Lepisosteus oculatus: one gene and its partner. The protein of the gene in region 1 interacts with the protein of each later gene in a biochemical or structural test. Links are inferred from orthologs where the notes say so. Each region holds a gene or a part of one and is shown on either strand. Other genes may lie near its edges.

The links.
Region 2: the proteins of ptch1 (region 1) and shha are reported together in a solved structure, tested with the Homo sapiens proteins (5 studies listed by BioGRID and IntAct, with this or other methods). The link is inferred for Lepisosteus oculatus from reciprocal best matches to the Homo sapiens genes PTCH1 and SHH.

The regions. Positions count from the first base shown.
Region 1 is NC_090698.1:57,283,390-57,299,611, forward strand, and holds the start of ptch1 (protein patched homolog 1), read left to right. Parts: upstream 1-8,204; 5' UTR 8,205-8,601; coding exon 8,602-8,772; intron 8,773-10,015; coding exon 10,016-10,208; intron 10,209-16,222.
Region 2 is NC_090701.1:11,935,729-11,951,538, reverse strand, and holds the start of shha (sonic hedgehog protein), read left to right. Parts: upstream 1-7,951; 5' UTR 7,952-8,258; coding exon 8,259-8,567; intron 8,568-13,296; coding exon 13,297-13,558; intron 13,559-15,810.

The DNA of each region.
Region 1 (16,222 bases):
TGCTATTGTAAACATTTGGGTCACATTTCTTGGTATTTCTATAGCGTGCAGTCACAAGACAGTCAGAAACGTAGATGATGTTCACTGTCACAGTTCAGATGTGTGTGGCTTTCTGTTTGCCTGACATATATTAATCTAATTGTTGTGTGAATTGAGATTACAGACTGATTTAAGGCGTAAAACTGAATTTTGCACACGTGTTATCAGTGGGAAAAAAATGAAGCGGAGTTGATAAGCAGAATGACATCTGCCCATGTGATGACAGTTTTCCATTCACTGGGTCTTAGTTTTACAGTGAAGTGTGTGAAAACACTCACTCATATTTGTTTAAGCTGTGTTGGACACCACAGCAGTGGTTCAATGTTTTTAATTATTTGTGTTTTGTCCCCTGGAAAGCCTTGTTAAAAGTACAAAATGTTTTAGGCTGATTTTTTGCTGATATTTTTTTTCTCTTCAACACGCACAGTTTACAAAAATACAGCTCATTATTCCACTCTCGCCTCAAACTGTTTTGTTTGGACAGACTGGTCTTGTTCACTAACATATTCAAAAAAGTGCTAAACTTTAACATCAACAGATTATTATTCAAATATATTGCAAAAACTTCCTTATGTCCAAACAATGTTTCATTTAAGAGGCTGTTTGAAGCTTCTTCAGAACTATTGCTATAGATTTGAAGGTTAGTTTTCATGTGCTTTGTGGCAAATTGATATGAGTAAAAGTAAGAAAAAAGGGCCAGAAATCTATGTATACATTTCAGAGAGAAGGCCCAGAGCTTCTATATTCATTTGTATTTAATTAGGCAGCACAGATGCTTATAATATAATGGCTACTTTTAATAGCATATTCAAACAACCTTTACATTCTTTTCAAGTTACACGTAAAGAAAATTTCAAAAGTCACCTGTGGTGCTTTGATACCAGTATATTTTCTCATGTATTTTCAAATATAAGTGCCCAGTGAGAAGCCCTCAGTAAAAGTTAATGTTTTTTAAAACATATCACCTGCCAACAGTAAACCTGGTGTTGTCACTTTGTTTCCATTATTCATCTGTAGGAAGTGCTCTAGTGGGAGGGAACAGAAGTCAAGATGATTTTGGAAATCACTCCAAAAGACGTCTAGAAGATGTTACCAGGACACACCTGCACCCAAATAACCAGGAAATTCTATATGGGAAATATATTGTCTTTGAATAAATATACGTTTTCCAGTATAAGGGTTTCTGTAACTCTATTAATGATCTAAACAATATCTCCTTCCTTTTGGCAAAAATGTTTTACTACTTTAAGATGTTTCTATGTTCACTGCAAACATGTTCAAACAGAATCCTGAAAGGATAAAAAAGATGTGTAATGATGAACAAAACTGTACCCATACTTTATTTTTGGAAAACAACGGTGCTTAATGGTGCTTTTAAGCATGTGCTCTAAAATATAAGGATATCATTTTATTAAAATGTGAATCCAAGATAAATTTATACAATACCATGACTAATGTAGGACAAATATTGTTATAAATATTCCTTTACAAACAGCATTAAACTCAGATATTTACAAAGCACTGTTCCTGAAATGCTCTCATAATGCTATTTTATACAGGTGAAAGCTGTAATGAAGCTCAAGCACAGAACACCGTGGCATCTCAATACATTCTCTTGCACAAACTGTTCTCTGTGCAAACAGGGTTCTAACGCATTTTAAATTAGTTTTATTCACTTACCTGAATTTCTTGGCTCTCGAAATACAATTTTGAACGTTTTCAATATTTTGCCAAACGCCAATAACAGGTATGAGGCTCCCTTATAAAAATGAAATACAAAATTAAAACAAATCCGCCGGCATGTTTTAAAACCATTTACGTTTTCATTTTACATTAATATTTTCGTTGAAGAATAACCATGTGAAACACCATGTAACCAATATTAAGGTTAACAACCACAAGAAGCAAATGTCACATAAAACCATTTAATGTCGATCTACTTAAAATCTAGTTTGCACGTTTCCTATGCTTTCGGTCAAAAAACGACTCCTAAAAACATCAATGAAATAAATGCACAAGAGACACTGGAACAGGTTCACTCTGATCGTCTCCTGACACAGTGTTCTCTGCCATCAGATTCACCCTGTGAAATAACGCTTAAAGTGGATCTGTAAAAACAAGCCGCAGTAGGATCTGCTGATTTTGCCCACCAAAGAAAGCACAAGGCGATTTTTAGCTTCAGGAATTTCTGAGCTTTTGAGTGAGGAAAGCATGTTTACACAGATAAAGCACTGGGTTTCGTTTACTTTGCCTTCTCTTTTTCTTTGGCCGGGGGGGTGTTTAAAGTTTAGGGCAATCACGTGACACTGACAGGTCCTGCCTATTGAGACTCAGACCACCCACATGGAGACGATGGAGCTGCTTAATAGAAACAGGCATGTAATTGTGAGTCCTTCCAGCACTCAGCAGAATGCCTGCAACCAAGAAGGATTATTACTCGCCAAGTTGCATTTTTTCTTAAAAAACAGGAATCTTTTCATCAGCTGCATACGTGACAGCTCTAAACGACTGGGGGAGAGACAAAATATTTCACATTTCCAGAAGATTTCCCAAGCTAGTGGATGATGGTAAGTAGGACAGTTTAATTAATTTCGAGTGTCTTACCCAGGAGCGATATCTTGGCAAAAGGCACCGCGTCTGTTGTGATACTGATATTCTTAATTCAGTAACTGGCTGCTGTAACTAATACGGGATTATTATGAATGAGGTGATACACTGGATGATGATGGGGCTTGCCGTTGGCGTACAGCTAAGAACTGCTTGTGTAGCGATTTTTTATCAGTGCTCAGTCTCCAGACAGACTTCATCCCTGGGTCATCCCTGTTTCGACCATCTCCTTCAAGGAAAAGTAAATTTAGTTTCAATTCGAAGACGTACGTAATAAAATATATGAACCAGTAAATGTCCCATTTTTCAATTTGTATGTCTTGTAAAATCACATTATCACTCTTACTACTTCCTTGCGCCTTTCATTAAATTATTCAGTATGCTTTTAACAGGACATGTTGAGGTAAATGAAATGTTTTTAATTGAGTATATTAACGGAAATTAAATGAAAAGGATAAAAAAACACAGTTTTCATCTTCTGAAATTATTTATGGCCATAAAAGACTAATGACAGGAAAGTCGTCAAATTGCGTCCTTACTTGTGGTCTATATTTATAGACTGAAACTAGTTTTTTGTTACCTATTTACTGTAAAACATAATTTGGGATTTACACATCTTCCTTTTCAGTACCTTGTTAATCTGAATTTACCAAAGACTGTTCTATGGTTTTTCCAGCATCACAGTATTAACATGTATTTAGTAGTTTATAAGTGACTGCTTTTTAATTTACGTCTTACCTTTACTACTGTCACTACATCTGGAAATCAAGCGTGTGTTGCTTGTTCTGCACACAGTAATCTGGAAACCTTTCACGTTAAGATATAGCATACATATATTGCACTAATCACTTAAGAAGATTAGCATGGTTGTCATGTTCAGCCATTCTTTCCTTTTATGTTTATATTTCGTCTGATGGTGAGTATGCCATTGTACGCAATATTAGAGCAATGCAAATTATAATAACAGTGATATTAGTGACCAAGAATCGATAGGCACGGTGAATGTAATTAAAATGTGCATTTTGTAAAGTGAGCACTTTTGGGACAAAATAAAAAGCGGTTTTTTTTGTTTTACAGTGAGGCGGATCGCTCTATAATAAATCAAATATTCCATGCACATTAAAATGCACCCGTTGTCAAATTATAGTCGCTACGCGTTACTGTCCTCTTTATGGCGACGCGGCTCGCTGAAGCTCTGGGAGAAGCATGTGTCACTTGAGAGTTCTCCTTTTTAACCCGATCAGATTCGTTGCGTTATTATGTCAAGCTGGCTTGAGTAGTGCCTTTCCGCCACTCTCGGTGTGTGGTGTGGGCTTCCTCTACCGCCACTGCATGCGCAGAACAGGGCGTTCATGAAAACCCGTGGCGCGTCGAAGGAGAGTGCGAGGCTGGACAAGGGGGTATTATTGGAGACCGATAGGAAATAACACCACCGACAACTGAGGGGGATAACTGTCGCATCCAGGCGAAGGCAAAACCCGCGCTCCCAGTCGCATAACAATCACTTCATGCAGTGAAGACGCGTGGAAAGTTGTGGGAAATTAATCCCGACTATCAGTTCTGTCTAGAACTTGTAGATGCATGTGCGCAAAAAACGAAAATACACACACTTAAAAACCATGCGATGCGCGGACCGCTACGACTATCAGTATCAGCTACTGTAATGAGCAACACCGGTACTACCACGCCCTCCTCCGTTTAGATCACGATCGTTTTTTTTTCTCCAGGTTATTTCGTGTCTTCGGCATTACCAGACAGTGTGTAAATGGGCGGGGTTCCATTCGGCCAATTATTTATCTTTGAAACTCCTTTGTCCCTTTCTTTGAAAGTCCGTCTTTTTGTGGTTGCAAAGCGATTGTGATCTGATCCAATGGATGGTCGCAGCCGTTGCGAGAGCTGGTCTGCGAAGGAGTACACACTTGTATGTATTCAGACTATTCGGAAGGTGCTTCTGCACCCCTGTCCCTGTAGTCATCATTTGAAAGGAGGCTGTTTTACCTCATAGTGCTACCCCTGTAGCCGTTTACCGGTTATGAATCTCAAGAATGAAAAACTGTCCCTTTCCAACATCCCCTCCATCAAGTCAGTTTCCGGGTATAAACAAAGGTTTTCGAAATGGAACTTTTCCTGTAGGTTATGAATGCATTTTCTACCGTTTCAGTAGATATGGTTAGAGCTGATGTGGAACTAGGCAGGATGTGTCAGCTTTAGTCCTTCAATCGTTGTCTCTGTTTCTTGTCTTTCTATGCTTGTCATTTTCAGACGTGGTATTTTTTCCAATCTCAATTGCCTAACAATGGGATGGCAAATCCCAAATATTAATGCGGTTCTGTTCTCCGTACAGAATCTTCATTCTTGCTACCGAAGGGAATATTGTAGATTCAATGGGACACCTTGTTGTAGTATCAATGGGAAAAATGTCATTGAAGCGTACTCACATTAATATTTTACTTTTTAGAAAGTCACCCTGCATTAAACAAAAGCTTTCATCGTATACTCTGCTGTTATGGCGATATTGTACTAATACTATTTCTGCATATTATTTGGCTGACATATCTGTTCAAAGCAATTTACATTTGCACCTCTTCATACAATACATCTACGTATTTTGCTGAACCAATCTGCATGAATTAGCTTCTACCTCAAGGGTAGAGCTATAATGCCAATGATTCGAACCTACATCCTTTCGGTTTGAGTCCAGAACCTCTAATGCTCCTTAACAAATATCATAGTGGAGTATTTTGGTGATTTGTTTTATTCATTGCAGTATTGTGCTATCGGTATTGACAACACGTGCATATTAAAGAGTAAAAGGCTCACCAATGTAAATGCGGGAAGAGTGGTCAGAAACAACTCTATCACAAGGGAGTGAATCACTCGTATCGGTCAATCTAATCAGGAGTGGAGTAAACTAAGGGCAGCTATGACTCATCTACTGCTACGGCTGGCCACCCAAGTCGAGGCAGAAACTTTCAACTGACACCGCTTGCATTTCTCTCTTCTCAAAGATTACGGCAAGAAGACCAATTAGATCCCTTATGTAATTCATCCTTGTGTACCCAAAATCAGACCACAGGGACTGCTGGTGAGGTAAAAGGACGAAGCTTACGTCTGAAGCATCATTCAGCATTTGCTGAGGGAAATAAAAACGAAGACGGACACGATTTCCAGCAGTTATAGGTTTGGCTTGAATATAGGCAAGTGATAAACAGGATAGTTCCCAGTTGCCTTATTCACAGTATTAGACTATGAAAAAATAGAAAACCTAAACAAAACCCAGGTTGTTTTTCCCTCTCATTCCCCCCCTCCATAAGATCACCTTGCGTCATATCATTGTCAACTGCTGTCCTACAATCTTTGAAGCTATTTGGTTGCGCCGAAGTGATAATCGTGTAGCTTGTTACTTTAATACACGGTTACAGTTTTAGGCTCGCCATCGCTAAAGCAGTCCCGTTATCTTTATTTACAACACGTTATGTACAAAGTAAGGCTTCACCTGTCACATCTTATTGAAAAACCCTCTTGCGTGTTTTACAGCTCACTGAGCAATGCGTTTTTCAACAATGTATTCACCTCTTGTGCTGCCCGAACAGCCTTTTAAAGTCTATCTTGTCAGATGCCGTAAACAATTTCGGTCACTCGGATTCTGAGGCTAGCTGCAACCATAAAGAGTTGTATGAGAAATAAAACCTTCAGTGCATGCTTGAGATCGATTGCACTAACATAGGCTACTGAGCACTGTAAATGTCAATACACAGGTTACTGGTTAGTGTCACTGATTCTTTTTGTTTTCCAACTACAACTGCACATACATTTTACTTCCTAGGTGGCGCTCGATTAACACTTATTACAGGGGGTGTCTTGCCTTAGTACACTAGATTTACCGAGATCCGCGCGAAGCCCGGGAAGTACAATAGCTCAGTGTAAGATTTCTTCTTCTTCTTCTTATTATTATTATGTAGATTCACCAGCTGTATCAAACTGGTGCTTGAAGAGGGAAGAAAGTCCCCCCAAAAAAGAAAAATCAGTTTGAATAAAACTGATGGATTGAAGTGTAGGTGTTACGTAATACTGTACCAACGTGATCTTATAACGATTGGAAAAAAAGAAGAAAACAGTGAAGAGGCTTAATGTTTATGTTTTTAATTGGGATTGTCATGGCACTAATGCTCATGAGAATGCCATTAGGCAACGAATGCTATATGAATTGATCGTTTTATGAAAACTTTATCGTTCAAAAAGACAGGAATATGTATTAACCTGTTGTTAATTCGATTGGGCAACATATCAACTAGTCAGTAAGTAAAATATTTCACCACGCGTTCCTTTCCCTAGAAATTGCTTTGTGACACAATTAATAATAAGAGGGCATGCCTGTTTGGAAGTTACCATTGGCCCTTGACTTGACAGCGGTGACTGGTATTGGACAGCGCAAGGGGTAGACCCGACCGTGCAACGCGCTGCACTTCTTCAGGCACAGCGCAGTGTCGGTGATGCATATTTCGAAAGTCTTCTGCCGAGCTAAGCTTTCAGAATTAAAGAAACGTGTTGATTGCTCTTGGGGGAGTTGTCCTTCGGTGTGTGAACTCACGTGACTAAAAACCCATCCTTTACGGACACACGTTTCATTGACATTTTATGCAGATACATATGTGTACGGAACTTCACACCTGACACCAAAATTTTAAATGTTCCGAGAAACTCTTAGCCGAAAGAAAGTGGAAAATATTATTGCATTCTGTTGTTTTATGTACATGCTCATTATTTTTTCATCCGGCATATTTTCTCATTTTTTTGCCCTCATACTGTATATACAGTAGGCGCTTCCTTTTTATGTTTTATGTTGTTTGGATATACCATGGTTAGATCTGTTTCATGTTCCGCGTCTGTCAGACATATTTATTCTTTGCGTGATAGTGTTAAAAAACAGAGCAGCAGACAAGTCTTGATTTTTTTTTATTTCGATCGCCGGTTCAGCTGTGAACAAAAAAAAAAAACAATTTGGTTGGTGAGGTGAAGAAACACACGGGCGCGTTCTCCGGCGTTATCCACCATGCTGTCATTATCGCTGTTAGAGCTTGAGAATTCAACTGGACCTCCCAGGACTCGCTAAAAAAAATCATGAGGCCAGGGAACACATCGGTAGAATGTTCTTTTAAAGAGTTTCGAAAACCAAACATAAACTGCAGTTGAGAAACTCTGAAGCATTTTTATGAATCGGGCGGAGATTCAAATTCCAGTTGAAGAAAAATACTTTGCAAGGAAAACAGAAAACGCAGAAAGAAGGAAAACTGCCGACTCCAGCGGCGTTGCACGCAGAGCTGGAGAAGGCTGGAGTTCTTTAAGGCTCCCCTGAAGTTTGAGATGCACACACAAGGGTTGCCTGCTTGGGTGGTCTCTCTACTTTGGTGAGCTGTTGCTAAGCAGCTAATAATAGTCGTGTTTGCTGAGTAATTTTTGCCCTTCTGGAACCAATCAGATCCAAGAAACCCCAGCCATCTGACAGCCCTGGAGGCGGGATTTTGATTCCTTTTTGCCTTACCCCTCCTCCTCTGTCTCCAAATGGAGAGAGTCCTTTTTTCTGAGCTATTGAATCCCGGAGCTCGCACGGTCCCGCGGCCTGAGAAAGAGCATAGCGCGCAGAATGCTACAACAACGGAGCGGTCGGAGTCGCTGTTTTGGACAAGGAGAGCTTCTTTTCACGTTCGTCTTTTAAAAACACATATCTGGAGAGGACAGAAAACAGTGGATGTGGGAAATTGTGGAGACCTCCGGATCACGAAATGTTGGAATGGAAGGCGCAGACTTTGACTCGCCGTCCTAAACAGGAGTATGAAGTACTTTGCGAGCCCGAGATTAGCGGTAGTGAAACTTTGTTACCCTGGATTATCAAAACACGCGTTCGGAGGAATTTAAGACCGTGGATCGCAAAAACTACAGCCCAGTCTCTACAACATGGCCTCGGCTGTTAATGTTTCAGAGCAGGAAAACAGAGACCCTGATCGGCCGAGGATAACCCGGAGGAATAGAGGGAACTATCGCGCAGCAGCTACAGCAACTGATTTGGAGTATTTGCAACGGCCGAGTTACTGTGATGCAGCTTTTGCATTGGAGCAAATATCAAAGGTGCTTTCCTTTTAAATGTCTTAAACGGGGAAATGGGTATTCCGTACCATGTGAGTTTTCCTAGTTTTGTCAAGTCGCTAGGTAACGGTATACATACAGGGGCGAGGGGGACAGTGTATTTGCAACGAAACCGTTCTTTACATCATGTTGTACACAGGCTGGTCAGAATTCATAGTGAAACATGTATTTCCGATCAGCCAGTGTACACCGATTTGTCTTTCGATTAACAATAATGTCATGCCAGTTATTTGAAACCATGGTAAGAAAACAGGCAGATGCATTTGTGCGTAAAACTGTAGTGATGTACTTACTCTAGTAAACAATGTTTTGACTACTCTGGCTCTCCGGAGTTCAGCACCTTGATCATTTCAATGGGACAGTTAATACAATATAGCTGTTCGAGTCGCTAACTGAATTAGCCTTTTTGGCGATTCTTTTAAAGTCGCCTTTAGAACAGTTCAGTGCATAAGCGATAGTATCTTTATGGGGAGTAGTTTTTATCCCTCTGCTAAAGCAAAAATCCATGTGGCTGCCCTCTTCCGTTCGCAAATATTGTCGTAACTCGGAGATGGCTGCTCCACTTCCTAATTCAGATCACACAGCGTCTCTGAACTCTATGGAAATGAATTAGCCTCCAGCTTATGGTCTAACAGCAATGGAAACCACGTGGATCTAAGTTTTTTTTTAATATTGCTTGTTACAATGTAGGGCACCGCTACTGTAACCTGTCACTGATAAGGTAGCTGTTTTGCAGCCCACGGACTATCGTGCGCAATTGGCAGCATAATATTATCACGCTGCAAGCAGTTTACCGTTTTCTTTTTCCTTCCACGTAGGAGGTCTTTGATCTCTTTTAGGAAGAATAACGAAAAACTAGCGTCCTGTATATCCCACCCGTACAATGGGTATATGAATCAATGGTGTTCTAAAAAGCAAATTCAAATGTAGGTTATTAAAGTTTTAGCTTTTGTTAACTAAAAGGTAACGGTATATACCTGTCTTGAACCGTAGCAGAGAAACAAGTGACACAAGAAATCGCTGACACGACGTCTATCATTTCCTCCGCATCTTGCAGCAGCAAAGTTTTCAAAATAGAAAATGTGATCTTTTTAATGTCGTATTCCGATAAAAAATTGACGTGTTACAGGTAGTCACTTACATAACCGAGCATTCATTACAGATATTTACAGTGGATAAACACATTCCTAACAAGTAACTTTTGGACTTTCTTGTTTCGTCGCAGGGGAAGGCTACTGGAAGAAAGGCACCACTGTGGCTGAGAGCAAAGTTCCAGAGACTCTTGTTTAAACTGGGGTGTTACATACAAAAGAACTGCGGAAAGTTTTTAGTTGTTGGCCTCTTAATATTTGGAGCTTTTGCTGTGGGATTAAGGGCAGCTAATCTAGAAACCAACGTGGAGAAACTGTGGGTTGAAGGTAAGAACCCCTTCTTAAATTTTAGTTATTGCTAAAAATATTCTTGCGCTTTTTAGTTTTAAGAGTAATACAAGGGTGGGGAGAGGTGTATGCCAAATAAACTGGAGGGATTGTTTATTGTGCAGCAGTTTGGCAAAGAGCCAGGTAAAAACTTGAAAAGAATTTGCTGTGATTTGTGTGTTACAGTTTTGTAAAAGGGAAAGTGTGAAATGAAGGGAGTTGATAAGGGTTCTAGAGGAATGGCATTTCTCAAGTTGTTTTTTTTCTTATTTAACGTGGAAGAGGAAAAAAAGACGTACGTATAGTGTGCATATATATATATAAAATTCTGTAAAAAGCCGCCATTTTGTGTGTGTGTGTGCCCCAGCAGTAGAATCTGATCTGTGCAGCCCGGAGAGTCTGTGTGTGGTCCTGTTTTGGACAGCTTTCAACTTTGAAAAAAACATTTGTCTCTGGGTAAAAGCGGAAAAAAGTAAAGTACAGAATGAAACGCATACTTGCAAAGTAGATGAATATGTTTTGGCAAATAGAGATTAAAAGTAATTCATTTTTCGATTAGGTTCGTAGAATAAATTGTGGAAAAGGTAGACTTCGGGAATGGGGGAAGTTCAATTAAAGTTTTTCCCCTTCTTTGATCTACATTCCAGTAGTTGAAAACAAAGGGTATAGAAATTCTGAATAGATAATTAAAGGAAGGGTAAAACGGCTTAAAGGAGCTTCGCAAATGTTTCATTAATTGCTGTAGTTAAAATAGTTAAATTTTCTTATCCGTCTTAACCCATTTCCATTTTTAAATTTCTGTTAATTAGTAAACTTGAGATTAACCTGTAAAAAATTCTCTTTCGCCATTTTAATTGCGTTGCAAAGAACGGTTGATACAATTAATTTGCAGAGAATGTGGAGAATTCTTCAGATGGCTATAGGATAGTGCCTTAAGGGTACGTTTTCATGAAATGAACATTTTGTTCCAAATAATACATCTCCCTCCTCACATTTATGATATTTATTATGAACTTTTAATTTTCAGTAAACTCTACCTCAAATAACTTCAGCAACCATCATTTTAAATAGCCTCTCCTTATTTTCCTCATCCTAATGACCAAACCACTAAACCAAACCACGTCTTAATAGGTCACCAATTAATGCTGAACACATAGAGGTGGGAATGACAATGTGTCAAATGACACCTACCTCTTTTCTTTCTGCAGAGGTCCAATTAGCTATAGGTTAACCAGCTCACCTGAAATTGGATAGTTCTTGAAATGCAGAGATTGGAATAGGGTTGATGCCAATTACAGAGCATTTTAGATGACAAAAAACCTCTGAAGAGCTGGAAGCAAATTTTTAAAATATGCCCCAGATAGAAAAAAGAGGTCGGGTAGACTGTGATTAAGAATTCATGTGGATCAGAAACTGGAACAGATCTTGCTGCCCCAGAACCATTGCTGTAGGTCTCTTCTGTTCTCCATTTGCGTGGCTTGAAAATGTGTTATGTTCCTGTCAGAGTGTTTGAAGCTCTGATCTTCAATATGGGCACTACACAAATAGATTAATTTGTGATTGAGGGGCACTGACAGTGTAATGCTATTTAGAACTATGAATAGCATTTCTATTTTCCATTTTATTTTTACCATTGTGCAGTGTTTTGTTAGGCTGTTGCAGACTGTTTGAGAAATACCACAGACGTTACTACAGAACCCATTTCTTCATTGAAGTTGTTGAATGAAGTAAGCTTGTGCTGTATTGCATTCGTGCCAGGAGATGTCCTGGAATCAGTCACTGATCTACACTGAACAGGTCTTTTGTGTTTCTGTGAAGCAGAACTGAATAGGAGGCAGTTCAGTAATAAGGAGAAATATTTTAAGGAAATATGGATCTAGTTTTAAACCAATTCATTTTTTTGTGTGTACAATTAAGTTGAATATAGTTAAGTATAATTTATTACCTCACACTTAACCCCCTTACCCTCCACAAATCGATGTACTAAAAACTGTCTCCACTTCCAATCTTTTAAGGCATGGGCAATAAACAAAGGCTGTGTCTCCTTTGATCAACAGTTTTGTTCAGTCTTAGTTTTAAAGCTTTTCTGAAGCCCTTGTTCTCTACTCTTCAGTCTATTGGGTCTTTATAAATCTGTTGATTTGAAAGTATTTGAATACAGTCTCTCTGGCAAAGTGCTGAATTCCTATTAGCAAGCCTGTCAGGTAGAGTGGAGCTCAGGTCTGAATATGGCCTTCTTTTTAATGTTGCACAGAATTCTATATCCAGCTACAGATAATCTTTAATAAAGATTTCTCGGCTAAAACGTTTCTGAATTCTTTGCCGCTACATTTATTTTTACTTTGCATACCTTATGTGGGGTTTTTGTTTGCTTCTTAATTCTGAAGTCTACTGCAAGCCTTTGTGTGGGTCAAAATGTTTAATCTGCAGTTTTGCAAGTTTGAAAATATGACAACTTCCAGATGCATGAAGCGTCAGATCTGTTTGTTTAGATTATTCACCACAGTTGATGTATAGATTAGTGCTGGCTGGACAAAGCTGTGGGAGATTTGTTGGGTTTCTGTGATGCCATGTTTATATTTAATTCGCATTTGTCCTTCAAAGCTGACCTCTCTATGACCTACAAATGCTTTGTCCACTGAATTGTTCATTTCCACTTGGCTTCCAATGGTACCAGATTCGTAATGTTTTATTGTCTACATTTCAGTGTGATTTGTTAAAGACTTGCCTTTTGGGGCAATCTGAGAAATGACAGAAAGTGCATGCCTGGTTGATGTTCATAATCATTAAGAAAAAATTTAACACTTTCACAAGTAACACAAGCACCTTCGCCACTGATTCTAAGAGAAAGAGAACAGAATTTAAAGCAGAGGAATTTTAGTTCATTCTTAATCACGGGAGATGGATACTTTTTTACTCAGATCGCTGCGTTGTGATAGGATCGTCATTTTACACAGGAAAGAGAGGGGGCGCTACAAACATAAGCCCTACCTTGTCTGGTAGTGGGAGACCTTAGGAATGACTTTTTCTGTTCTTTCCTCTGAGGGGAAGGGGGAGGTTTACTGATCCAACAAGCAAAGAAAGTGATTTTTATTCATCCTTTTGCATGCGCTGTAGCAGTCCACCACCATTAGAGAGAGAATCATATCTGAACCAATGTTCTCTCAAGGCTAAGAACATAAGAGAGGTTTGGAGAAGGAGAAAGAGGCCATTCTGTCTGATCTGTCTTGTTGGTTTGCTGGTAATTAGTTGATCCAAGGGTCTCATCCAACCATTTCTTGAACAACATGGAATCCTCCAACAACAAGGCTGGGTAGTATAGTCTAGACTCCCACAGCCCTCTCTGTAGTTACAGACACTGACACAGACATTCCCAGTTTGATGTTAAAAAGGTTTTTTTGGCAGAATCATACAACAGTTCCACTGCCATACATTCTCATTCACCAGCACATTGTTATTAACAAAATGTTTTCATCCTTCAAGTGGAGTAAAAGTGAGGTATTGTTACCACTGTGCTTTAGAGCATGACAAGTAGACATGTAAAAAAAATACAGTGGTCCAGATATGCTAAAAAATTAAAATTTTGCCTATTAGAAATACAAACCTTCTCCTCTGTGGCTTAAGAAAATGGCCAGAGCATGAGGGACTGCTTATTTAAGGATGCCAGAGCTTGTTGATCCTGAAAACACCGCTCAGTTTGACCCATACTGTAGGAACAAGTGAAAAATGTAATTTAGGGTATCGGAACCAAATGGATAGTGACACACAACCAGCAGTGTGACATGAGTTTCCAATCCTCTCAGAATGGATAGTGACACACAACCAGCAGTGTGACATGAGTTTCCAATCCTCTCAGACTCCGCAGAGGAAAAAAAAAAAGATGTGATTCTAGGAAACTTTCCTCTTGTTTACTTGTCTTAAATGTGTGTGCTGTAAATCGGATTGAGGGGCTGTGGTATTCTAGGGCAAACCCTCTGGGGGATAAACCTCTGTAAGACTTTTTCCTGATTTCCTGTATCTGAGGGGGTATTCCGACTTATTCTCTGTGTCGTAAAAACCGTCACGAAGGTAGATAAAAAAAACCTTTTGTAATGTGCGATGACATATCTGAAGGACTTGCATTGAACCTTTATTTAGTGTTTCTTAACTTACAGTAATAGTTGAAGGAGGCGCATGTTTTGACAGAATGTATATTTAATCCTTAAAGTATTGTCCCCGGGACAGGTTGTGAGTCTGAGACCTTTACATGTTAAATAAGTAATTAAACTTGCTGTGGGTAGCCAGTCGCAACAATATGCACATGTAACAAATTGTATATGCACTTTAATCTGTACAGTACAAACTTTTAGATGGTTTTCACCTGTAGTAAAACAACACGTTTCTCTTCGCCTTAATGCACTGTTCCTAGAGTATACTATAAATTCTTTTGTCTGCATGTTTTTTTGCAACTATTCATAAAGCCTCAAGTGAGCATTCATTTGTCTCCTGCTGCTGGCACCGTGTTGAAAATTTGCAGAGAGCTGTTCAGATTATGGGATTAATAGTCCTGAGAAGGGGGAACCATCCTTGGGCATTTTGTTAATGAAAACATCATTGGAGTAGTAAGAAAAATACTATCATAGGCTACATTTAATTAAAAATAATTTCCCGTAAATATTTATCTTCCTGTAGAGTGCTCTTCGGTTCAGTGAGATTTCTGTGATGAAATCATCAAGATATCGAAATACAGGACCTTCGCTCTCTAATGGAGACTTCAGGTCTTGGTCCCCTGGGCTACAATTAATCAGATGAAGACTCGGCTATTTAAAACCTCATTTGATACTCGATTCATTGATATGGTGTAGATTGAAGACTTGCAGAGAAGGGGTGTTAAAGAAACCAGTCTGTGAGTCTACTTTTATAAGACTAAAAAAAAATTGAGCGTTTGTTACACATCCACCAGAGGGCAGTCATTTTTTATTACAGACTCGAATGTTGAGGAATAATTTACATTTTGGAGAACTGGCCTGATGAGAAACTGTGTATAAGAAAATAATGTTCAGACATTATTTTAGACGCAAGTCAATTTGTGCATGTAATTTGGCCAGCAAACATGGTGTGAGCTGTCTAGCTGTGCTGGAAATCCTCCAACGGTTTTTTTTATGAACACAACTTCCTTAATTAAACGTGGAGGGGTTTGTGTGCTTTTTGAGTTATAAACCCCGCAGCACAGCATTTGGTGTAAAGACATGGTGACCATATCTGTTCAGATGGTTTTGCTGTGCTGGAGTTATGACTGTCTTTATTCCACTTTCTTCTGCAGAGCATTTTTAAACTTATGCGAGCCAGGCAAGGACCACCCCAAAGATGTGCAAACAAAATCCTTAAAAAGGCAGCTCTAGATGAGACAAAAAAAAAGGCGTACTCAGGAGACGTTGTTTCACTTGAAAGTGTGGGGCTTTCCTCGGAAACATTCAGGTTTTAAAATGCTGTGTTGTGGTGGTTAGCACTGCTTTGCCACAGGTCCGGTGTCCTGGGGTAAATTCTGGACAGAAGTGCGGGTTCTGTGTGGATTTTGAATGTTCTCTCTGACCGGTCCAGGTTATGACCCTGCCCTGTGTGTTACAGGACAGGCGTGATCAAGAATGAGTGGCTTTCTGGTAAAGGATGCATATATCTTGTTGCTTGCATCCAGATTCTTAGTGAGTTGCTAGGTAATGTTAAAGATTAATCTTTCAATATCTTTCTTGCATTCAATTTTTTAAAATTCGGTCTGGACAGTTGTTGGTTGCTCTGACAATACTAATTTAAAATGAATTAGGTACTGCTTACTGGCAGAGCTAAATACTGTTATTCCACTGAAGTGTGAGGGGAAAGAAGCGAACAATATAAAAAGTACTTTAGAAGAAATTGCAATAATTAAATGTGAATTTAAAAAATACTCCAGTGTGAACAGATGTCGCTGTCCCTTTTAATTATGGAAAACTATTTGAGAAACTCTAAATACTCTTTTTAATGTTCCATCTACAGAATGT
Region 2 (15,810 bases), on another chromosome or scaffold:
ACCTTACATGAAGGCACAAGGCGCGAGTGCCACGAAACAGTATTTTTTTTAAGATTCAGACATCGTCCTTTCCCAAGGAACTTACAGCCCAACAGTCTTTCTCACAGGTACTGAATCCTCTGCTTCATATGCCCGCAGCTTCAAGAGATTCCTAGCATGCTTTCAATGTACAAGCAATGGACTTCAATGAACGTCAGGAACTGTGGATGATGATATGCTTTTAAACACTAATAGCCCCGTGACTACGTGTGTGGAAATTGGCTGGGGGTTGTCACAGGTTAATATCCATCACTTCATGTGACACTGTGTGAGGAGAGGACAGCTACCACACTGTACAGATGAGGCAGATGGGAAGGGCAGGGGTGGAGGTGAAAGCAGGAGCTGGTTTGACAGTTCAAGCTGTGAAGGGAGATTCTGGAAAAGAAAATGGAATTTTAATTCATGACAAATCACAGTGCTACCACTCGCCAGAAAGCAAACAAAATGCAGCACAAACATGCTATGATGTAGAACTGGCAGTATTTCACCAGGAAGGTATTTCACCCTCAAATAATTCGAGATAGCAAGGAAAAGTTTAGAAAATGCTATCTTCCTATTGACATTGTTTTTAGGACTTGTGACATTATTTATTTCTGCACAAATTGTGAATATTCGTATAAAATCAAATTCAATCTCTTTTTACGACCTTAGAGCCTATAGAAAACATGATGACTTTCAAAGACATTTTAAAAGCTTTGTGCTCAGGGTCTTCTGGTGTTTTTTGTCCACAAAGATGATTAGGGCATGACATGTCAGAGGAAAGCTTAAGGAGCAGTGCTAGAGGTTCACATTTACATGATTACTTCACAAACCACGTAGCAGCAGTAGTAAAAGTAAAACTATAAGTATATATGTATGTATATGTTATTTTTGAATACAGTCAGAAAACATAACAAAAGACCACCAAGACTGGCAAAAACAAAGAACCTTTATTTTGGTGCACAGAAGCTGGTGCTGCCAACAGCTGGTGACAGATGATTTATTTTCTTAAAGTGGATCAGATATTAAAAGCAATAAAGTATTACCATCACTGCATGAAACCCATTCCATGCTTAGTCCAGAACACTTGTGCACTGAAACCATGGTCTTACCTTTATTACTGGAGTGAGTCTACAGAATGGGAGCCTGCAAGTCTGGCCAAAGCAGATCCTACCACTTTAATGATAAAGGAGAACAGAGACTCAGGGTCAGATTAAATCATAGTTATCACACTGTCACAGCCAGTATAAAGTAGGGTTATTCTTGCGTAATTAGGTTTTTGCTCTTATAGGAGGCCTAGGTCAGGACAACCACATTTTCTTTGGTCTCAACATGGTCTCATTATCGCCCCCTCATGGTACTTATCTGTGCTGGAAGAGGAGTGATGAAGCAGCCACAGTCAGCTGTAGGCTGGTCCTCTAAAAAGAGAGAATGTAGTCAGAGATAATAAAGAGCAAAGACCAGGCTGTGGGAGAGAGCACTTTTTCACAACACATTTGTTTCGGAGGAGTCATTTTTCCATTTTTCTTATTTTACGACCCCGTCACTTCGCATCAGTATTTAATTTCTGTACCCCAAAGTCAACTTGCTCATTAGTGGGTGTGTACTCTGAACTTTCCAGAAATTTTAACTAATAAGAGTAAGGGTGCTCACAATTGATAAATTTTGTTTTACACAACTGCAATAATAATAATAATAATAATGCAACTCTTCTCTGTCTCTCCAAGAACCAGCTGTTTCCTATTTCCTCCATCTATTAAACATAATAATTGTCAAATTCTAGTGTGTAAATGGTATGGGAATATTAAATATTACTAGTAGTGGTCTCTGAAAAATGTACAGTTCATGAGAACATGCATTTACTTAATTAAATTATCATTCGTGCACAACATGTGGTACTATTCACATTTTACAGCAATCCTAATGTATTCAGACTCTCAAATAACGAAATAGTCCTGTAGTGTCTATTCCTTGATCAGACATGCACAGAAGTGAAATGGAATAGGTATAGCTCAGGGCACTACTGCTTCACTACTGAAATTAAATGCAAATAATTTTGTCTTTCCTCAAATTAGTTAAGAGATGGAGAGCAGAACTTAAAGATGAGAAAATAAAGTGGACACATATTAGCCACTTAGCATGAGCAGCACATATTAGCACTTTTAAGGTTATGCATCAACCTACCTCTGCTCATGGGCTGCAAATCAAATTTGTGATGTTGATTCTACAGATAATCTTCAGACATAACAGTGTACGTTGTCATTGTCAACAAACATCATACTTAACATGATAACACTAAAAAATGTGACCTTTGGATGTCTGCTATATAAACACAGAGAACAACATGCAATGTTATTTAAATGTTATTGTAATATGTTCTTTGGAATTTGATAATATAGCATATTCTTTAGTGTGTAAAAATATTGTAGAAGAGCATTTTCCCTTTAAAGTACACTATATGGAGTTTTTGTTATTAAAAACAGGTTTATTTAAATTTTATATACATTATTAAAACCATACTGCAGAGACAGATCATATAAAAGGATATCTGAAGTATTCTGGGCATAAATCTACAAACAATGGCTGTTTAATGAGCAGATAGGGTCACAAGTGACCAAACACTAAGTATCCACTGAATTTTCAAACAAATTCAGAGCATCACAGTTTTAATTATTAAGTCCAATATGATTCTGCAAACAACTACATAATTACTTAGAGGGGAAAACATTATAATTCATAAGGATAAAAAAGAAGAAATAGCATTATATGAAGGCGAAACAAACATCTGTTACTCCTAAAAGGCTACAAAAACAGTACCAATAGGTACACATCCATCAATTTTCTAACCAATTTATCCAATTCAGGGTCACAGGGCAGCCAAAGTCTATCCTGGCAAACAACAGGTGTAAGGCAAATACACCCTGGAAGAGATTCCAGTCCATCACAGGACACACTTGGACATAAATAATAATAATAATAATTACACTTATATAGTGCTTTTCTGGACACTCCACTCAAAGCGCTTTACAGGTAATGGGGACTCACCTCCACCACCACCAATGTGCAGCCCCACCTGGATGATGCGACAGCAGCCATAATGCGCCAGAACCCTCACCACACACCAGCTATCAGTGGGGAGGAGAGCAGAGTAATGAAGCCAGTTCACAGGTGGGTTTTATTAGGATGCCATGATTGGTAAGGGCCAATGAGAAAACCCTGAACACCCTGGGATTTTTAATGACCACGGGGAGTCAGCACCTCAGTTTTACGTCTCATCTGAAGGACGGCGCCTGTTTACAGTATAGTGTCCCCGTCACTATACTGGGGCATTAGGACCCACATGGATTGCAGGGTGAGCGCCCCCTGCTGGCCCCACTAACACCTCTTCCATGCACACACTCACACCATGGGTAGTTTTCCCAGAAGCCAATGAACCTACCAGTATGTGTTTTAGGAAACCGGAGCACCTGGAGGATATCCACAGGGACACAGGGAGAACGTACAAACTCATCACAGATAGCACCCCAGGTCTGGAATTGAACACAGGGCCCCAGCTCTGCAAGGCAGCAATGCTAACTACTGAGCCACCATGATGTCTGTAAGTACACTTTCACAGTGAAAATCAGGAACAAACAGAGATGTCAAAGGCCCAGAAAAACATTTCTAAAAGCAAGTATGATAATTATCTACTAAAACCCAACAGATACCTAATGATTTTGGGTAATCGTAAGCTTTTCTGCAATACCACTTAGTATAGAAGTGTACAAGTAACAGAGCAGGCAGTTCTGTTCTTAAAACTACACAAATGTACACACACAGTATAACACATTTTACATAGGAAAGTCTGATACGTTGATTTGTCATTCAAAAATACAATTATTTCCACAGTAGCTACCAAAGGCCATACTGAAACAAAAAAGCTGCATTTTGTGTCTAGCATGTCGGTGGTTCTCCTTAGGGTGCAGGCCTGTTTGATATCTTCTGGAAACTGGAAATTTCCTTGTGACAAAAGAAACAAACTCAGCAAGCTAACAATACATAATAAAGACTACAATGATATCTTATGGATGCAGACATCACATTTCAGCAACACATTGATAGAACACACACAAACACAATTTGTATACAAAATAAAATACTGAAGACATTATGAAGGCCATCACCTTAATTGAGAGATTTAAACTTAAATATTAGAATTAATTAAAAAAGTGAGTGAATTATTCCGTTATTACTTGTTTTGTACAATAGATTTTTTTTAAATAGGTAATCTTGTGTTTTATTTTTGCATTTTACTTTTTTTTTCAAATAGGAATGTGATTGTTATTGATTTGCAGTAGGTCTGAGCTCAAATCATTTTGTCTTTGACTGTAAATTTGTCTGACGGTTTCTTTGAAAATGACCTAAACTTTTATGATCCTGATTGCTCTCTCATTCACAGGCTGTGTTGCTAACCTTTTCTCCGACTAACCATAAAATACTATCGTTAAAGCCAACAAAGGTATCAGGTTGAAGATAAGATAGCATTCAAAGGGTGCTAAAAATATTGGAAAACAAAAAAGGAAATGATTATTAGTCAAAAAAATTTTACAGCCATATAATAATTCTGAGGTTCCAGAAGGGTTCCTTTGACAATTGCGGTTTGATTAAAAGCTAAAAAAAAATTCAAGTCTGTAGTCAGAAGCAGTAGAGAAAGTAAACGAAACACAACCTGAGTATTAATCAGTCAAAAAAAAACAGGAAAAAGGCAACTACCATGTTTAAAAATACTCCGCAAATGTATGAAAACAAGAGAAAGTAAGACAATTGTGCACATACCTAGCCTGCTGCTATGGGTTAGTGAATACGGTGGTTACCATGGATAAATCTGACTATGAAGTGTACTTTGGAAGCAGGCTTTGTGTCTGATCTTTCCCCAAACAGAAAGCTGTGATCCAGGCAGTAGGTTTGTGTACACTGGGCAAGCCAGTTCCAGTATTCAGCTTCCTAGGAGCCATCTCTTCGCATAAGTACATGACTTAACTGACGTTCATCCTATAGCTACTGTGTTGGACGCCGGCAGTCGCATTTCAATTTGGTCCTTACAAATTTTAACTTGTTAAGAGTTGCTTCTGATAAGGTGGTTTGGGATGCATACGTATAGTATGTTGCTTCTATCACTTTATGGATGTTAGGTGTTAAGATTGCAATGTTGTCTGTTTTGTGTTTCCAACAGGCAAACTAGTCCCTGCAAATAACCATGAATGTAGAAGGCTCAAAAACTGTAAAAAAACTACAGAAGCCAAAAATGTTGACCATTGGCTCCTTCAAAGGTTTCTGTAAGAATTGTCAGAGGAGTTAAAAGTTTAATAAAGAAGTATAATATAGAGAATTAGCCTTAAAAAAAGAGAGGAGGAGGCAGTGGAACCAGTACAGTCGCACAAAAAGTATTGGCACCTTCCATCGCCTGCAATCTTATTAATGTTTGTTTCAGTGCATTTGCTTGTCAAAGTACTATTATATCTCCTCTTAGATCACTGAGCTTTCATTCATCCTAGCAAGCTGTAATTAAAGGCTTTTTGACCGAGTTAAATTATTGAAGATATGGAGACTGAATTTTTAATTCTCTAACTCCACAGAAGTCTATGGAATGGTAGAAAAAGAGACCAGACTGGGCTTATATAACATCTAAAGTCACCTCTAAAATACTTAGAAATGGCATTTTTTTCCATGAGGGAGAAAAGAAGCAAGATTGAGATTTTTTTTTTTGTGTCTTTACATCTTCATAGCTCCTGGACTTTGTTGTGTGCTCTGATTTAAATGTTCACAGTCATTTTGCTAGGATGGCACTACAGAGAGGACGGACACAATGTAGCACATTGTAAATAGTATATCTCTATTCATGTAACATTAGCCTGTCAGTATACTGTACATTGAGGGCACAGAGTGGATTTTGATCATTTCCATGGATTGTAGCCTACATTCAAAAAAGCAATCAGGGATATTCTTTAAGCACTATTTTATATAGGTTTCATTTATTTGAGTGAATATTTAAATAAAATTAGCATTAACAGGAAGCTTGCCAATGCAAATAAGAAATTAAAGACAGCAAAAGAAGGCTTTACTTTTTAGTATAGGGTACACATCAGGAAATTAGTCATTATGTGGAGTCTAATGTTAGAACTGATTAGAAGCCACCAAGTCTCTCAATATTACAGATTTCCCATGATCTTACCTCAGCACAACCTTCATTGGAAATTTAAATGATGGATAATTATAAGTAAATCAAGGCATTTGTTCACATGTGTTGGTGGCTCCATGGCAACCAGTACGGGGTCTTAGTTAAATACTGGTGGAGAACTTCTGAAGACCGCTGTAATAATGGGTTTTATAGGTACCGTCTCCAACATAAGAAATTGATATTCGTTTACACAGTTTTGTGATATAAATGTATGAAATCAATTATATTTAAACGAGATAAAATGTTTCCAACTTTTTAAAAATTTATTGGCAGACAGAGCAAAGTTTCCCACTTAACGGATTTTTACATTCAAAATCGTCTACTATGTATGTTATTCAAATATAATTTGCGATGATGTTTTTTTTTCTTCAGATTTATCCGTGGAAGTCATTAGGAGCTTATGGTTCAAAAGTTTGTGTCGGTACGGAAAGAATATTTTCTATTTTGCCTTTCTCGTTTTTTATCCTAAACTCCCTGTAACAGAGTATTTTTTCTTACACTAAAAAAGTTTGTTTCGCAATTTAAGGAGTTAACGGGTCCCATTTTAACCATTACCGAAAACGTGTTAAAATAGGTTATCTTGGGATAGTTGGTGATTTAAAGTACAAAGAAAAGTTGAAAAATGAAGAGCATTACTCCTCATTAGCTAAACAGCTGCTGTATCCTGTTCAGTAGCGATGTCATTTTGTTAGAAATCGTTTATGGCTGTCTTGTTTTCTGTCATCTAGCAAGTCTTAAAGTTTTACACGATTTTTTAGGAGTCCTACAAATTTAATTGCTTCATTGCCTTTATACCCTGACCACTGTAGCAATAAGCAAATGAAATGATTACTGGCTATGAAACACCTTAAAACCATTAGTCTTGCGTTCTGTTGCCTGCCATAGTCTGTAAGCGTTTGGCTAAACAGTACAATAGTATTTTTTTTAATTAATTAGTTTTTGCTCTCTCCTTCACACAGTCTTAAAATTCAAATCCATAACGGTGTGCATCCCACCCTTCTAAAAATTCAAAACACTACTTAACTTCTATGTCAAGCTAATAACTGGCATCTCTCACGATTCCATGTAAATGTTCCGTTTAAAGCTTTTATCTCCGTCCGTTAGATGGTCTCCGATGATTATTATTATATTAGAGCTCCTTATCGGATTAGGTAACAATAAAGTGTAGTGATACTAACTCGTGGTACTAATTCTTAGGTGTAATGCAGATCAATAGAGAACATCGTACAATCCCTGACACAAAGTCAGGATGATTAGCTAGTAAGTGCACTGTCAACTGTCAACAATTAATTAAACTTTATATGCATACTTTTACTCACAATACCCATTTTATATATAAAATATTTCCGCTTTCCCACCCTCTTCTTGTTCTTAATAGCTATGTATTTGTATTGTACATGTACTTTAGAGCACATGAGGAATCCGGATAACAAAATGTGCCATGCTTGGTTATCGGTTTTTACATATCAGTGAAGATAATCTTATTATTTCTCTGACTGACAAATGTATATTTACGCTAAAGCAAGCTTTGAGAAAGAAAAAAAAACTTGTAATTGATGTTTTCCCTTAGACGCCAACCCCTCCCCTCAAACCCACCCTTCAGGTGAAAAAAAAAATCTTTAAAGATTTTTTGTCTTTTGTGGGATAACATCAGAAAGGGTTCGTCTGCTTGAGCCAATCAGCTCCTTCCCGCATGCTATCGCATGCTATAATACATAGCACTAAAGGCAGACTCTTCTCACAAGCGTCTGTAGCCTGCCTACCATTAAATTCAAACCCTGTTTTAGTCTCTTTTTTTTTCCTGCAACGGCCCAACTCCGATGTATTCCGTTATCAACGACCAGAAGGCTGACATTTCCGCACCTGCCTCAGTAGGGATCGGTGGATAGTATCACAACGAGAAAAAGAAACAAGGGCATAGGAACACAGTGAACGAAAGAGAGCGAGAGGGAGAGAGAGACATAGAGGTTGATCTGGACACGACCAGAGATAGATACACAGAAGCTTCAAGTAATTAGAATCGATGGACGAAATGCTGCTGTTGACAAGAATCGTGCTGGTGGGCTTGACCTGCCTTGCTTTCGTATCCTCTGGGTTGGCTTGTGGACCAGGCAGGGGCTATGGAAGAAGAAGACACCCGAAGAAATTGACACCTTTAGCTTATAAGCAGTTTATTCCCAATGTTGCAGAGAAGACCCTGGGGGCCAGTGGCAGATATGAAGGGAAGATCACAAGGAACTCTGAGAGATTTAAGGAGCTGACTCCCAATTACAATCCTGACATTATCTTTAAGGATGAAGAAAACACTGGCGCTGACAGGCTTATGACACAGGTAGAGTGAACATCTTTTTACTCCTATGCATGATCAATATCAGTACATTGGGGATTAGTATTGTGGCAACATATTTTGAGCAACAAGCTGATAAAGTTTAAAGTCTCCGTGCTGTTTTTAATTTTCAATTTGCTTTGCCTGGGGTGTTGTTTTATGAGTCCTGGTTGTGTGAATTTTGTTTGCTGAAGTCCCCAAGGCTCCAGTCAGATCAATTAAAGTGGATACTGTAAGGAAAGGGACACCCAAGTGAATGCAGACAGCCGGGACAGTCAGACGTTACTATGAACTGCAGTTTACTTGTGCTATCGATCTAAGTTCATGCTCCATTTTATTGTGTGCCAATTCACCCGTTTTTAGAGGACATCCTGTACTTAATCACACAATCTGTAAGTCGGAATACATTTAAAAATAAGAAGAAATAAATCTTCCAGCCCCTTGCAGAAGTCTCGAGGTTACAGTAGCCAGCTGCACGCATTAAAATATAACATTTCGCAGTGTTGCTCATTGGGGCATGAAAATATTGACATTTCTTTAAGCATGTTCTGTACACCATTACTACTTCATTGCTGGGCGGGACTTTGTCAATTAGTCGCGCTACTAGCATAGAACTCAAGACTTCTTTAAATTATTATCTTTGTGACCGGCTTTTGCAAGACGATAAAGGGGGAAGCGGCATAATAAGCATCCGTTTTGAACCTCGGCTACGGTGTCTTTTATTTGCTGTTTGGGGAACAAATCTGTGATCTCTGCTTTTGAATAGACTTCATCTGCATGACCTGCTTGCATAGCTGAGTTCAGATTAAATATGGGTCAGAAATGATCATTGCAGATACTGTGTTTCGTAGACTCATTGGGTGAAACCCTTGCTATTAATAAGACCCGGTTATTTTTACATGCTTCCTCGGACTATGGCTATTATATTTTTAAAAAGAGATGCTCAGGGAATTTATTCGAGTCCAGCCTCCTTAAATATCGCAGGATCCGGAGTGGAGTGATGAGGCGCGCGCCTGCTTTACTGAACCGTAGAAGCACGAGCCCCAATTAAATATTCACCCTGTACTGTAGGAGTGCGTGCAGCCAGGAAAGAATACGTTTCTACTACGCACCTCCTTCATTCTACATCTTCGTAACATTGTAATTCAAAATACCGTCTTGCTAGAGACATAACCTTCCATTCTAGCATTAAAGGAGTCGGCTCAGTCCCACATAGCCCTCGGTCATTGAGACTCTAAGCTGCAAGGCAGTGATCTGCACCAAGTCAGACACATCTTGCATTTTCAGCTCCACTTACTCCTCTTTTATCGATCGGAGCGGCTAGGATTTCAGTTTGTATTTTTATATAACCAATGGCAACCATAAAGCGCCAGCTCCCCGGTGCCTGCGTTTTATAATCTGTCTATAATCTAGCCTTTAGACTCGGTCGCAAAAATAAAGACAGGAGCAGAAAATGTACAGTATGGTGGGGGTTTTTTTGGTGGTGGTAATTCTATTTTGCGAAAGGCCGGGCATCCGCGTTCCCTTTATTTTAGCACGAAGACACATTTCAATTGCCCTGCTTTTAAGAAACGCTACTGTACAAGACAAGCACTTCCTTGGGAATAAGGCAGTCTTTTCTTCTCGGCTTGTCGCTCTGGCTGCATTCGCTGGGAGCATTTGAACTTATGACCTTCTGTCAATTTCTTTCAATTGTATGTCACAAAAACAAATTCGTATTAGTTCTATATGTTGTAGGATAACAGTTTTTAGAACAGTTTGAGTTCAGAATGCTTTGTTTCTTAAACCACTGACATCAGTACCACTGTGGCTGAATAGACTACATCTTCAAATGCCGTCACGTCGAACTCCAGTACAGTATAGCTCTTTAAAGACCGCAAGGTTACTTCATGAACTGATGTATATATGCAAAGGGTTTGAGGGGATTCTAAATAATTTATTTTTGAAATGCACCAGGAAAGACCTTTCTGAGGAATTGCGGACTATCTTTAATTAGGTTAGCCAAATTAAGTTGGCGCAGTTACGAGCGCTTCCAGTGAGTGCTCCAATGTTAGAGTCTGGACACACAGGTGCATGTTTAAATAATTAAGGGATCAAAAGCTACCTTTTTCGTAAAGGGGGAAAAAAAGGATAAGGTATATTTTTGTATAAACGGGTACCCCGCGGGACCTTTTAAAGAAGATGAAGCTTAGTTCTGGTGTGGTTTCCTAAAATGTAAATCATATACCAGTTAAAGTTATTATGGCAATAAACGCGAAGTTGCTCGAGGGCGTGCACATAACAATTTGGATGAGCTTCGTGTTAATCAGGCAACCTTTCAACTACAAAGACACATCTCGTAAGCTTCTGTGAAACTAGCGAGATCACCTCAAAGAAGAAGAAAAAACTTCTTGTGTAACCCAGATGTGTGGATTTAAAAAAAAACAAACAGCGCTAAACTGAATCTAGACTAACATAACTGATGAGCATATTAAAACCGTGCTTGAATTTAAAGAGTTCATCGGGTTGTTTACACTGACAGGTACCTGATAAGTGTTTCCTTTAAGCAATTCATTTGTGAAGAGATTAGGGACTGGCAGCGAGGGCTTGTTGAACAACTTTGTCTAAGCACAAAGCGTAAGCACGGCGAGTCCTGCTGGGTTTCACGGTGACTGAACAGAATTTGGCTTGATTTGCGACACACGACCCAATGAATTAATAAATAGTTTGGGCTTCACGGCTTTTGACTCTGACAATCCTGCTCAGAATAGGAAGGGAGAGCTTTTGGCATGGCCCTTTTTACCCCTTCTGAGCGCTACAAGTGCTTAGGATGATCTGTATATGCATTTATTTGATCTTAATGTTTCATAATCTCTGCAGCAGGTTGATTTTAGATAAGTACTGACGCTTGAGGTTCTGTGATCAATAGGACTTCTGCGTTGTTTCTAGTCACAGAAATACTGTCTGATGTAGAAGGTGTGTGGAAAACACTTGAATGCTCATATAAAAGATTAAAAGCTCCGTTTTGCTTGGTTTTTTTTGGGGGGGGCTTGTCAAAAACGAAACATATGTTGTGCATTTTATGAAGATCGACCTGCGACGCAACTGGTACTCTTAATTTAGCGTGTTAACTGAAACATTTAGTTTTCTGTTTAAACCGCTTGTATTCCTCTTCTATATCGCAATAAATATGATTTTGTATTAAAGCACTTGAGGCGTTCTGATAAGATAAATTATTGCTTTTATTAATTGACATATTGTGAGAATAGTTGTTTATGATCTCCAGACATTGATGTCTTGTTAAGCAATCTCGTCACGTCTCTAAAAAGTAGTACTGCAAGAGTAATGAAAGTGTCTTTCACCCTCCGGGCGCTGTGAAAAGAGTCTTTTGTGATGTTTTACTTGACATATTGGTAAAGTGTTGGGAAGAGTTGTCCTGGAGAAGGCCAAGCATCTCTGTTCTGGGTCTCGGGAAAGATTAGTAAGCGTAGTATCCTAATTATTCGCCAACTATTTTGTGTGTATAATTATTCTTAAACGCCGTCAGTGATACTCAAGCACCAAAAATGAATGAATGTGAAAAAAGTCCGTAAAACGATCGTAATTAAACGATCGCATCTGGTAACTGCATAGTCTTCTAAATCATAGGACTGCTTCTTCTTTCAGTGCATTCATTCAACATCAGTTCTTGTCTAGACAGCCAGACAGATAGATCCAGAGAACAGTGTTCATTCAAAATGATGGATCTATATGTTTCAAGCAAGTGAAGCAGATGAAAAATTATAAAGTATTAATTGCCCTCTTCCTTATCCTGGTATTCATTTTTGAAAATCAAATGTTTCAGACAGCACCCTCTCCTGTCTCTTTTACTAGTCTCTATTCTGTCCAATTCTAATGAATGAGATGATGAGGGACTTGCACCATAAACTGGGCATCACAAAACAGGACTGTAAAGCAAAATAAGGTCTATGGACATGTCCTGGAAGATGGACTGTTCAGAAAAGGACATACAATTTTCATTTTTTTTATCTATAGCTAATGCCAAGAAGAATCTTTGGGGCCTCAGCAGGTTCATTGCAAATATCTGCAAAGTTAAGCACTTTACTGAGTGATTTGTAAAACTAAAGCTTCTAAGAGCAAATAAATCCATTTGTGAGGGGAAAGAAGAAAAAAAACAAAAGTCTCCCCTCCACGTGACGTACTTTAAATCCCCAGAGTTAAAAGTGTTGCTTTCAAACTCGAAGCTTGACAGATGCCTTTGTTGCCTTTTGATGCATTACTGTCCCCTCGTTTTCCTTGAGAACTTTGATTTCTCAAGACAATTCGCTAAAAGCTATACACCATTTGACTACTTTTGCCTGAAAAGTGATTTTCGTTCAGTTTGGTTGCTCCAAAATTCGCCTTTCTTCCAAAGCTTAGTTGGCCTATTTGTGACTTCTACAAAATGGACACTTTCCCTAATTTCCTGAAACTAGGTGTTGGTGATGTTTTTATTTCTCGAGATAACACTTTTACTGGAATCAAGAAATACAGCTCATTAATCGCATTCAAATAGGCAATACTAATCTATATCTGGAATAAAGTGATTTCTCATTATGTCTGCCACATTCAAATGAGACTCTAGAAGAATAATTGCACACGGGTCCAAACACTATACTCTATTTTGCGGCAAAACGGTTCTAAAAGTCACAAACTCATTGGTTTTTTTTTTTATTAATTGATGCCACTGAGTACATCTCTCTCTTTTTCTTATCAGAGATGTAAGGACAAGCTGAATTCCCTGGCTATTTCAGTGATGAACCAGTGGCCAGGAGTTAAACTGCGCGTGACAGAAGGCTGGGATGAAGATGGACACCATTTTGAAGAATCGTTACACTACGAGGGAAGGGCAGTGGACATCACTACTTCTGACCGGGACAAAAGCAAATATGGTACTCTGTCCAGGCTAGCTGTGGAGGCAGGATTTGATTGGGTGTATTATGAGTCTAAAGCCCACATCCACTGCTCCGTCAAAGCAGGTGAGAACACTTATACAAGCTCTTTAAAATCATACATGGATGGAATAAACTTGTGGTTCCTACTGACAGCTCTCAAATTGAATCCCATTAGCTGTATGCCACCAACACAATACAAACTATGACCAGATAGGAGGGCTGAAGCTGCTCTTAGTTTTCTCCAAGCCTTGATGATTCTGATTCTTTATACTCCTCTTTTTGTCATATGTCAAAGGAGAGAGAGTTGATTTTACAAATAAAATGTATTCTGAGGACAAAAGTTATACTCAGTATTAAAAACTGCTTTGCAGAATACAGTGTGACTCTGTAACGAATACTGCTGTCCGTCCAATGCAAGGAAAAAGCTCTGTGGTTCTTATTGTTGTTACTGTTGCGATATGTTGGACTATGTTCTCCCCTATGAAAAGCCTGTAACCATTTGAATCTGGTCAGTCCTCATAAAAGGCTAATACCAACATGTTTCAGACTGGCTTGAGGCATCTTTAATGGCATTACATTGATGGAATTCACATAAAACCAGGATTGGTGTAAACTTTAAAGTGAATATATATTCTTATCCAGCTATGTTAAATCAAAATGAAATGTAGAGTAATGAAAATACAACTAGGCTGAAGGACTATAAATAGGTTCCATTCAAATAGAATTAGATTAATACTTATGTAATTGTGTGGGAGGCATATTTTGCCACAAACTCTTTTAATTAACGCTATTGCTACTGATATTTTATCAGGTTTTTAAGAAAAGTAAACTTAATGTTCGAATCTCGCTTCAGTGGCCGATATTCTGATTTCATAACGTTATGTGTTGAGGGAAACACAATCTCTAGTTAACTCGCCCCTTCTTAGTCACCAACAAGTTACAGAGGAATCGTGTTAGAGCCCACGATTAAGTTGTTGAAATCTGCACAAAATTATCCGCGATCTTACATCGCCCCATACTGTTTTCATAATGAAATCACTCAGCCTGTCATTCCGTATTTAAACAGGGAAGGCTTTAACGTCACCTTTTAAATATTTATGGCACACTGGGTTATAAAAGTGTGCTGTGGCCAGTTTAATATTTCAGAAATCTTTGCGATGTTCTCGGTAAAAGGCTAGTAGATAGTGGAATGGGTATGGATTTTAAGTAGAGTACACACATTTTACAAATACTTAAATCCTTAATAAAAAAATATTATTTGGCAAAATGTAATTGACCTTTGAGGAGATGTTTTAGTTGGTTTTAATCAAACCAGACGTTTGTTGGTATTACAAAGTCAATTTTGATATAAAAGTCAGGATTGTATAAATTATCTTTGCTTATTGAATTGTTTTCCCTTGCCACAATGTTATAGAATTCGACGAGTATTAATAATTACGATGTTTTAGAAGAAACCAACACATTTAACTCAGACTTAGCTTGGTGAATTATCAATAGTGCACGAAGCTTTTCCTTAACACGGTGTTCCTAAAATGAAATATTCTGTGGGCTTTTGCGAGAATACAAAACCACGGTTTAAACCACCACACAAAAGGATAATTGTAAAGGTATACGTTTCGGTTTCAGAATCTCATTTGCCTTTTTTTTTTTGTAAATTACCTCATTGTTTGCATTTTGGTCAACTATGTTAGCACCAGATGAATGTTTTAATCCCACCCCACGCGTATTGTATTTAGTATTAAGTGGCAAATCTGCTATTTAAAATTCAAAACACATTTTGGGCTTTTTAGGTCATATTTAGTCCATGTCATGCAGGGTCGTGTGACTGTACCGAATGGATTTGGACAGCGCAATGCTGAATTCGGTCAACTAAAGCTGGTTTTCTGTTGTCACCGCCTAGTTTCATGCCAGAGAATCTTATGAGAAGATTAAATACTAAAATTCCAAGCAGGAAGAATCCATTCTCTCGATCTCTGTTTGCTGAAAGTATATTCCTGGAGATTGGAATGTAAAGAAGAGTTCTCCCAAGGCTTGAATTATTGTCATCAGGATAGACAACAGAGAGGCAGCGGTGGTAAAGGGGACATTGATGAGGGGATGTTGGGAGCATTTAGAGTCTCTGCCTTCATTTAAAATTCAAATACACATCTTGAGTGCCTTGGAAAAGTGGCTGCGCTGTGCAAATACTGTTTGCAGTGCCTTGGGTTTGGAGAGTATGTGTGTGAATTGGCACATAGGTTTCTGCACCTGAGCAAATACGGGAAAGGAGCTGGGAAAGGCGTAAGTGTCCTTTTCCAAGAGTGAGTCCATCTACAATCTGAATTAGAATGACAATG